Caenorhabditis elegans: one gene and its partner. The protein of the gene in region 1 purifies or fractionates together with the protein of each later gene. This does not show direct contact. Each region holds a gene or a part of one and is shown on either strand. Other genes may lie near its edges.

Region 1 (4,271 bases):
TATCAGATTGTTATTTGTTCTCTATTACCGGTACAGAGAGTGTAGATAGTTAGAGAGTGACAGACATCCGGGACCTAATGGGGCGGGGCGCGCGGAAGAGACGATTTGTGTCGATTTACGAAATAATGACAACGAGGAAAATTTCGTAAATCGACACAAATCGTCTCTTCCGCGCGCCCCGCCCCATTGGGTCCCGGATGTCTGTCACTCTCTAACTATCTACACTCTCTGTACCGGTAATATTATTTTTCGTTTCTTGAAATTTCTCTTTTACTTTTTATCAAACCTTTACGCTTTCCCTTATTTATATTCGGCTAATCATCAGAGGCCACGCAAAACTAACACATACTCAGATCTCTCACCCTTCGTCCCCCCAACCAACCCCAAGTTTTCGTTAGCTTATGCTCTTTCTTTTTTGCTCCGTTTTTTTTCTGTAATTGCCGCAACAAATTGAAACTCGTGTGAAATAGATTAGTAGTCTTTTTGTTTCCACATTTTTTCCATCGTTTTCTGTATTTCTCTTGCCAACACAAAAGAAAGAATTAATTTTAATCGTTATTCTTTCTCAGATAAAATTCTAGACACTTTTTAGAATGCTAATCTGACAATTTATGCGTTCGGCTTCTTCTCTCTCATTGGACCCTTGAATGGCTCGGCAAGAAAATCGGCCACCTGTGGAAGGCGATCCGATCCGAAAACTGTTTGAAGTACTTTTCCGTGACCATCAGTGATATGCATCCACGGAGCTCCGAAACACTGAAAAAAATTAATTTTAATTCCCAATTGAGAATATTATAAAACAGCAAAAAAACATTTTAAAACGACGCGCAAGCGCGCTCCGGGGCCAACTGAAAATGCTCCGCCCCTAAACCATGGGTCTCGTTAGGAATTTTGCGTTCGTCGTCTATTTTGTTATATTTTTCGTAGTTTTTGATGTTTTTTCGGTTGAAATAGATGAAATAAAATTATTATGATAAGTGAAAACGCCCTAAATTCACATAATTTTCTTAGACATCATTTCGATGTTGAAATCATTAAACACTTCGAAAAATATAACAGAAAGACTAATTCTAGAAAATTGTCGAGCCTAATCAAAAACGTTCAAGTTTAACGGAAAATACCTAACGAGACCCATCGTTAGGGGGCGGACCGTTTTAAATTGGTTGTGGAGCGTGTTTTCTCGTCGATTCCGTGTTTTTCTGGGTTCCTATAATAAATGACCTACTCCATTCCCGATGGCTTCATCTGTGTTTTCTCTTAAAATGTTCTTAACTTCTGCCGAATCACTCATCATCACCAACTCATCGACATCTTTTACATGCAAATCTCTCAAAACTTCGGCAACTTGACTTTTTGTGAAAATTGGTTTTCCGTATGCATAAAATCGATGCCAGAGTCCACGAGCAACGTCTTCCATCAAAACATTATCACGGAGTTGTGAAGCGACAAGAATACGTTGTGGAACGATTGAACTTGTGTTCAACATCATATTTGTGTAGTCCTTGGGAAGACGGAACGGAATTCCCCAATATTGGGCAGAGAAGAGCAAATCTTTGTGCATGTACTTTTCTTTGATAGGAATACGGAGTGGGAGACCGGGGTTTTCTGAAAACTTGCAGTTATATGATTTAGAAGGTACATATCAAACAACTTTCTGATGATTAGCACGATTCGAAAAAAATTTTCAAAACAATTATGTTATTTATCAATGCTCCTATACTTATAAAATTACCAAATATCACTTTTCCAAATGTCTCGAAATTGCTTTCAAATAGTCCTTTTAGGGACATTTGGCAACTTATCAAAACGTTCACTGATCATTTTGAAAAATCCTGAAATTTTTGGATTGTCTTATTATGTTAATATATGTCATGTTCAACTATTATAATGTTGAACTATTGTTGAACTATTTAAGTGTATTTATCTATTCTAGTGCCCTTCGTCAGATTAAAGCAGATTTTAAGAAGTAGAAGTAGCCGACCTTATGATATAAATAGATAGAGGTGCATTTTTTAGAAAATAATAACATACAGGCTTCTTAAGGTTTTGCATGTCCTTTTCCAGAAGTAAATTGAAAGCTTTTATTTTGACATTTCAAACGGAATTGTTAGAGGGTCATGGTTTAAAAACCTTACTTTAAAAAAGCTAATTCCATTTTTTTACGGATATTAGAGAAATTTCAAGACAAAAATACAAAAACTCACCAGTATGTCTGACAACACCAGCAAAAAAGAATGGTTTCATCTGAATTGGAGTCTTCCAAACGGAACGATGACGAGTGATTCCTTCGAATCCAAAGTAACTGTACGGAGAAATGACATCGAAGAAGAATTTGACCACTTTTCGGTTCGGCATTTTGAAACTTGAAGTCTGCAAAATTCATGAAAATTCAGCAATTATTTTAAAATTTTTCGACAAAAAAGCGAAAAAAAAACAGAAGCTTATGATTTTTCTAAACCTTAATGAGCTCCAGTACTAAAACAACTTGAACTACTTCGGGACGCTTTTAAGATTTCTGAAAATTCTTATTTTGTAGAAAAGTTTTTTTTAAAATAATTAGGCACGAAAAAAAAAAACAGCCGAATCACGTTGGCCAGACAATAATGATAGAGTTGAGAAGAAAGAAAAGATATTTGTGTAAACATCAAGGGAGGTACCAATGAGTTGATAGGAGCACAGACACGTGGTAGAGCAATTGGAGCATCAGCGGACAAAAAACAGAAAAAAAACAGTTGGTCTCAAGTCTAGTGAACAAAGTGTAGAATTGTTTGCAAATGACCACGATAAAAATAGATTTTGTTTGGAAAAAAACTTGGGTACTCTAAATATTTGATTTCTATTTTTCCTAACCGCACGTGATAACCAGATGTGCGATTTTTGAGCATTTAGTTGTTTTGGATAAAAGATATGAAAATATACAATGAACAATATTTTCAGGAAAGAAGTTTGGTTAAATGCTTTATGACTATTCCAAATACGCACAAAAATACCTGCCATTTCTTAATTGAACTTTTAACAAAACAATTTAAATGATAAAGGGAGATAAACGTAAATTTATCATGTGTGTACACCACCCAGCTCATTTTATGTTAGAATGTAGAATCGAGGGGCTAAGAAGGCACGCAGGCAGGCAGGTATATGACATACACGAACAAATGAGAAAAAATAAAATTGTAGCCAGTGTAAAAATGATCCGATCTTTTCACCGTTCAATAAAAACATAAAGGGCTGAAATAGAAACGGATGAAAACAACATTTTGTGTTTTTGAAATTCAGTTCTTAGAAGGAGATCACGTGACTCGAGGTGAGTGAAAAGAAATAAAGTGCAAACGGGTGAAAAAGAGGGAACAGAATTGTGTTGTTTGTTGGAGGTTAAATATGTACTTTGGGTTGTGGAATTGGGATTTCATAAAGTTCACGTTTCGGAGAAAAAAAAAAGAAAATGAAATAGAAAATAATCCGATTGGAATAATTTGTTCCGAAAATGTTCCGGCTTTTGGAAAAAACAACTGGAATATATTGTTTTTAAATTTAATTGGAAAACTTTTACATTTTATGATAAGTTTTCCAATTAAACTATATCTGAAAAGTTTAAAAAACAATAATGATGTGAAAACTAACAGTTCAGATCTAGAACTCATTTTTGTTTTCTTCTTATCGAATTCTCTGCCTTCCACTCGCAAATGTTTGCCACATTCTTGACTTTTGGTTCATAAAGAGTGCAAATTGTTTCAAAGTTTGAAGAAATAAATATTTTTAGTATCATTTATTTGGGTTTTGCATTAAGTTGATCTTACTGGCCCAACAAGGAAATTCAATTTAAAAAAATTGGCTATGAAATTTGAATCAACAATTGAGAAGTCCAAAAATAAGCAAAAATAAATAAGCAAAATTAAGTAAAAAAAAGTAAAAAAAAGGAATTTGTCATCGCGGTGATTCAAATTTAAATTTTTTACATGCCTTTTGTTATAAAAGTGTAAAGAAATAGAACAAATTGAAAGAATCTAGTTGAATGCTCGTATTGAAGTAAATAAATAAATAAATAAAATGCTCGTGACTGTTTCTCTTTCCGTGATATATACACCTTTAAAATAAGAGCGTAATAAGTATATTTTTTGAAGCCAAGGAAAAAAAGTTGAAAAAAGTGCCTACCAACTCAACCTTCAAAACTGAAAATTCACTGCCTGGTAGAAACAACACCAAACAACAAAATGATCGGTATCAATTCTCGTAGGTGTCTTATCAAAATCAACAATCAGAACAAAGAAACA
Region 2 (5,385 bases), on another chromosome or scaffold:
TCGGAAAGTCGGCAAATTGCCAGTTTGCCGATTTGCCGGAAATTGTCATTTTCGGCAATTTGCCGGGTTGTCGATTTGCCGGAAATTTTCATTTCCGGTAAATTGCCGGTTTGCCGATTTGGCAGAAATTTTCAATTCCGTTAATTTGCCGTAAATTTTCAATTCTGGTAATTTGCCAGAAATTTTAAATTACGGCAATTTGCCAGTTTTGCCGATTTGCCGGAAATTTCAAATTGCGGCTATTCACCGGTTTGCCGATTTGCCGGAAATTTTAAATTCCGGCAATCTGCCGGTTTGTCGATTTTCCGGAAATTTTCAATTCCGGCAAATTGCCGGTTTGCCGATTTGCTGAAAATTTTAAATTCCGGCAAATTGCTGGTTTGCCGATTTGCCGATTTTCCGGAAATTTTCAATTCTGGCAAATTGCGGGGTTGCCGATTTGCCAGAAATTTCCAATTTCGGCAAATTGCCGGTTTGCCGATTTGCCTGAAATTTTCAATTCCGGCATTTTGCCAATTTGCCAGTACAACACTAATTTCAAAATTTATTGATTGAAAAAATCGCAGAAAAAGGAATGCTTTAAGTTCAAAAATAATTTGCAAAAATTCAATAATTAAATATTATTATTAAGTCCTCCAGTCTTGCATGCCTTAATCGATTCCAGCACGTTTTTATCGATTTTCTGTCCAATTATGAGCGTTTTTTCGAAATATTCCAACATTTTCCCAGTGTATCCTTTAACGGCAAGAGCTGAAGACTCTTGGCTCATAGAAGTATTTCCAAAATGGGTGAAGTGTAGGGAGAACTTTTCGGCAATACTTGCGAGAAGCCATGGAAAATAGAGATTAGTCGCCATATTGGTACGGAGAGTGAAGCAGTCGCCTTCGAATGAGTCTGGAATTTGAAATAAAAAGCTTTTTTTTGGCCCAGAATTTTTTTCTCGGTGAAAAAATATTTTAGCGAAAAAAGCTTTGATTGAATTTTGAGACAAATTTTAAGTCCAAAAAAAATTTTTTTTTTGACATTTTTGAATTTTTTTAAAGCATAAATTGACATAAATTTCGACCAAAAAGATTCTTTCGTGGCCTAAAAACTTTTTGCGGCCACTGGCTTCCCTCATAAATTGAAATGGAAGAGTTTTTGCCGAACTAGGCCATTTTGGCTCGGCCATATCTGGGGTAGATTTACGGCGCGTTTCGTGTCGCGTCGCGGCTTGATTTTAGTTGTAAAACTAAATGTGTTTGTCCGTGTGGAGTATACGACTTTCCCACACGTTTTCCGGCGGGCGATTGTCAATGGAGCGCGAAAAATTCAATGAGAAAGGCCAGAACCCGTGATTCGTGAAATTGAATTTTGAGACAAATTTTAAGTCCAAAAAAAATTGTTTTTTGGCATTTTTGATTTTTTTAGCGTAAAAAGAAAAGCATTTCCGACCAAAAAATATAATTTCATGGCCTAAAAACTTTTTGCGGCCACTGTCTTCAGCCACCAAGTCACTTACCGGTTTCATTTCCGAAATAAACCAAATGGGATGGATTGATTGTGTTAATCTCATCGATAACCGATTTATCAGTGGCTTCTTGCAGATTTGTGATTGTGGATTCCTGGAAATTAGTTAAGTTTTGACTTTTTGAGAGTTTTAAAAATTTAGAAACGAATTTTAGACACTTTTTTTGAATTTCCCGCTTAGTTTTACCCCTGGAGCAGCAAATTGTCGTAAAGTATGGTGTTTTTTTTTTTGAGGCTACCGTAATACAAAAGACGTAATTTTTAGATATTTTCTGCAAATTGTCGTAAAGTATGGTGTTTTTTTGTGGCTACCGTAATACAAAAATTTGAGATCAAACCTTGGAAACCAGTCCCTCCAGCTTTAGCAGCTCCAAAAATTGAGTTTTCAGTTCCGAATTAGCTCCGAAAACTAAGAAAATTGGCTTAAAAACTTCTTCGATGGGTCCCTGTTCCTTTACAGAGCCAGACGGGCTCCAATTCGTTTCTTTCTGAATTTTTTCAGCTGAAGAAGCCGAAATATTGTAGACCTCCGCTGGTTTTTGGCTTTGTGCCAACTTTTCAATTGCCAATAATCCACGTGTCGCGTCAGAAATCGATAAATCATCGGATACCCTTCCGATGACCATTGGAATACGATAACTGACAGCATAGCTGTGAGCCATTGCTTCAACGGACATTTGAGCTGAGCCGATGAATGTGACCGGCTCTAGAGGTTGGGTCTCGACACGATTCTTCGCCCTACCGTACACCTCGTCACCACTAATGAGAACCAGAGATGGTGGGGATGCGGATTTACGGATTGCATCGAGGATTGACGTGATTCCCTGAAAAAAATATTGATTTTTTTTTAATTCTAGGGGTTTGTCAACTGAGCGCGCGTGCTTTTACGGAAATTTTTCAAAAAAATTTGAAATTTCTGAAAATTTCTGCAATTTCGTGAATTTTCTAAATTGTTCAAAGATTTTTGGAAATGTTGATTTATTTTTAAAATATTTTTTTGTATTTTTTTTAGAATTTTAGAAAAGATATAAATTTTTCAATTTTTCTCAACCTTTTTTTTAAAGAAACCTCTGGAATTTTCTGATTTTTTTTAAAGCATTCAACATTTTCTAGAAATTTCGGACTTTCAGGTGGTGTCAGAGTGTCTCATTTTGGCTTGATCTACGTAGATCTACAAAAAATGCGGGAGAAGAGACGCAGATGGTTTAGAACGTGCTGACGTCACATATTTTTGGGGGAAAAATCCCGCATTTATTGTAGATCAAACCGTGATGGGACAGCCTGACACCACGTGGACTTCTGGAATTTTTATTTTATTTTTCAAAAAAATATTCCAAATTTTCTGATAATTTCTGACTTCCCAGGAGTTTTCTGGATTTTTTTTTTAATTTCTGACTTTACGAAATTCGAAATTTCTCTATTTTCACGTGGAGTACACCCAATGTTTGCCAATAGAGCATGTTTACTAAAACCTTACCAGAATCAATTTCTTAGCTCCTTGAATTGGCTCCAAGAGCACATCAGTTGTGGTGAGAGATGCGTCGAAAATTGTTTGGATTTTGTAATTTTCGATTAGATTTTTGATTGCTTCCTCGTTGATTGATGATAAATTGATAAGTGTGAGCGATGGATTATTGATCAGATTTGTTGGAATCTGGAAGAGAAATTTGAAATAATTAGGCCATCATGAAATTTCTCGGCCACCTGAGAATTTCTAGGCCACTCTAGCATTTTCAATGGGAACCATTTTCGCTGTTCGGCAATTTCGGTAATTGCCGAAAATTCAAAAAACCGGCAATTGCCAAAATTGCCGATTGCTGAAAAATTTGAGAACCTGCAATCGCCAGAATTGCCGGAAATAAAAATTTCATACTTTTTGTAGATTTAGGAGCCTAAAAATGCAATTCCGGCAATTCCGGCAATTTGGACAAATTTGGGCAAATTTGCCGAAATTACCAATTGCCGGAATAGGAACGTTAAACTTTTAAGGCCATTACAAGGATTTCTCGGCCAGCTGGAAAATCCTATACTACTCGATAATTAAAAATTAATTTTCGAAAATTTTGTAGGCCACCACTTACCGCCTCATTATTGTGCAGAAGAACCACATTTCTTCCGTTTTTTAGCACCGCCTCCGCAAGTTGAGTAGATATTTTTGAAATCCCGCCGGTAATCAAAACGGTCATTTTTCACTGAAATTTCGAAGGTTTAACAAAAAATCTGCAACGCCTAGCAACGGAGTGTCGCTTCACGGGGTTCTGGCCTTCCTCATTAAATTTTTCCCGCTCCATTGACAATTGCCTGCCGGACTGGGAAAGTCGTGCACTCCACACGAACGAATACATTTAGTTTTACAACTGAAATCAAGCCGCGACGCGACACGCAACGCGCCGTAAATCTACCCCGGATATGGCCTGGCCTAGTTCGGCAAATTCTTCCATTTCAATTTATGAGGGAAGCCAGAACCGCGTGTCGCTTGTCAAAGAAATTTTTTAAAATTAATTTTTTAAAATGTGTTTTGGGAAAAAAATTTTTAAAAAAAGCAAATTATTTTTCAAAAAACCGTTTCCTCAATATGTTCAAAAACCAAATTAATTTTAAGATGAACATAAATTCTCCAAAACAAAAAAAAATAGAAAGTCGAGAATGAATACAGTTTCTGTATGACATATCGCGGTCAAGGACGGCAGCGCAGAGATCGCAACGAACAGATAGAAGTGAGAGAGTATTGGTAGATGAGAGCCGCAGAGAGACATGCGAATGAAATCGAGATAGATCCAGGACATTGATTGTATACTCTATCTGCGACAATAGAAGTTTTGCAGCCACGTAGCATGAAAAACCACAGCATTCAAGTTTCGCGCGCCAAAATTCTTTCAAAAAGTTCTGAAAATTCTGAAAAACTTAAACTTACAAGGGCCAAATAAAATATATTTTAACTAAGTTCCAGACTTCTAAATAAAACCTAATTCGTTTGAAAAAAAACCCCATTCTAAATAGGCCCCTGGTGCAAAAAAAATCAGTGGCAGAGTGTCCCATTTCGGTTTGATCTACGTAGATCTACAAAAAATGCGGGAGAAGAGACGCAGAGTTCTCAACTGATTTTGCATGGTTAAGAGTGACGTCACATTTTTTTGGGCAAAAAAATTCCCGCATTTTTTGTAGATCAAACCGTATTGACGGACTGAAACCAAGTGGGAGCACAGCTTTGAGCTGCAAAAAAGTCGCTCTGAAAAATTTTCAGTCTAGTCGCCACTCTAGTCGCCAGTTTGGTCTGAAAAATTATAATTCAATTTTTAGAAAATTCTAGAAGTTTCCAGATTTTTCTAAAAAAGTTGTTTTTTTTCTCAGAAAATTTGAATTTCAGCCAAAATTTTATCACAGAAGATTTTAATTCCCACCAAAAAATTTTCCCATTAAATTTGAATTTGAAAAAAAAAAACTAAATTTTTTCTTAAACTACAGTACTCCTACAGCACCCCCTACAGTACTACTACAGTACCCCGGCTATACCCCCTACTAACCTCAAACCAATATCTCTTCAAAAGACAAAAAGTCAATTTTTCCAAAACTACAGTAATCCTACAGTACTCATACAGTACCCCTACAGTACTACTACAGTACACTGACCATATCCCCATACTAACCCTATACCAGTATCAATTCATAATATTTTTTAATATATAAATAATGATCTTCGCGGCAAATTTTTTTTGACAATTTTTTATTCAAATTTTGGCCTAAAAAATGGGCGGAGCCTAACAAGAGAAACAAGTTTCCGGAGACGTTAATTTTTGGAAATTTCTTGATTTGGGCCATAATTTTCCAGATTTTTTTTAGTACTGATTCATAAAAAAGTAAAAAATTAGCTTTATT

The links.
Region 2: the proteins of gstk-2 (region 1) and rml-5 fractionate together in Caenorhabditis elegans (co-fractionation; one large-scale study listed by BioGRID). This does not show direct contact.

Annotation. Positions count from the first base shown.
Region 1 is NC_003282.8:7,239,901-7,244,171, forward strand, and holds gstk-2 (Glutathione s-transferase kappa 2), read right to left. Parts: upstream 2,371-4,271; 5' UTR 2,356-2,370; coding exon 2,205-2,355; intron 1,606-2,204; coding exon 1,226-1,605; intron 757-1,225; coding exon 610-756; 3' UTR 545-609; downstream 1-544. UniProt on the Caenorhabditis elegans protein: Has roles in respiratory and lipid metabolism.
Region 2 is NC_003279.8:1,791,570-1,796,954, reverse strand, and holds rml-5 (NAD(P)-binding domain-containing protein), read right to left. Parts: upstream 3,702-5,385; 5' UTR 3,696-3,701; coding exon 3,591-3,695; intron 3,164-3,590; coding exon 2,987-3,163; intron 2,334-2,986; coding exon 1,848-2,333; intron 1,605-1,847; coding exon 1,502-1,604; intron 895-1,501; coding exon 614-894; 3' UTR 531-613; downstream 1-530.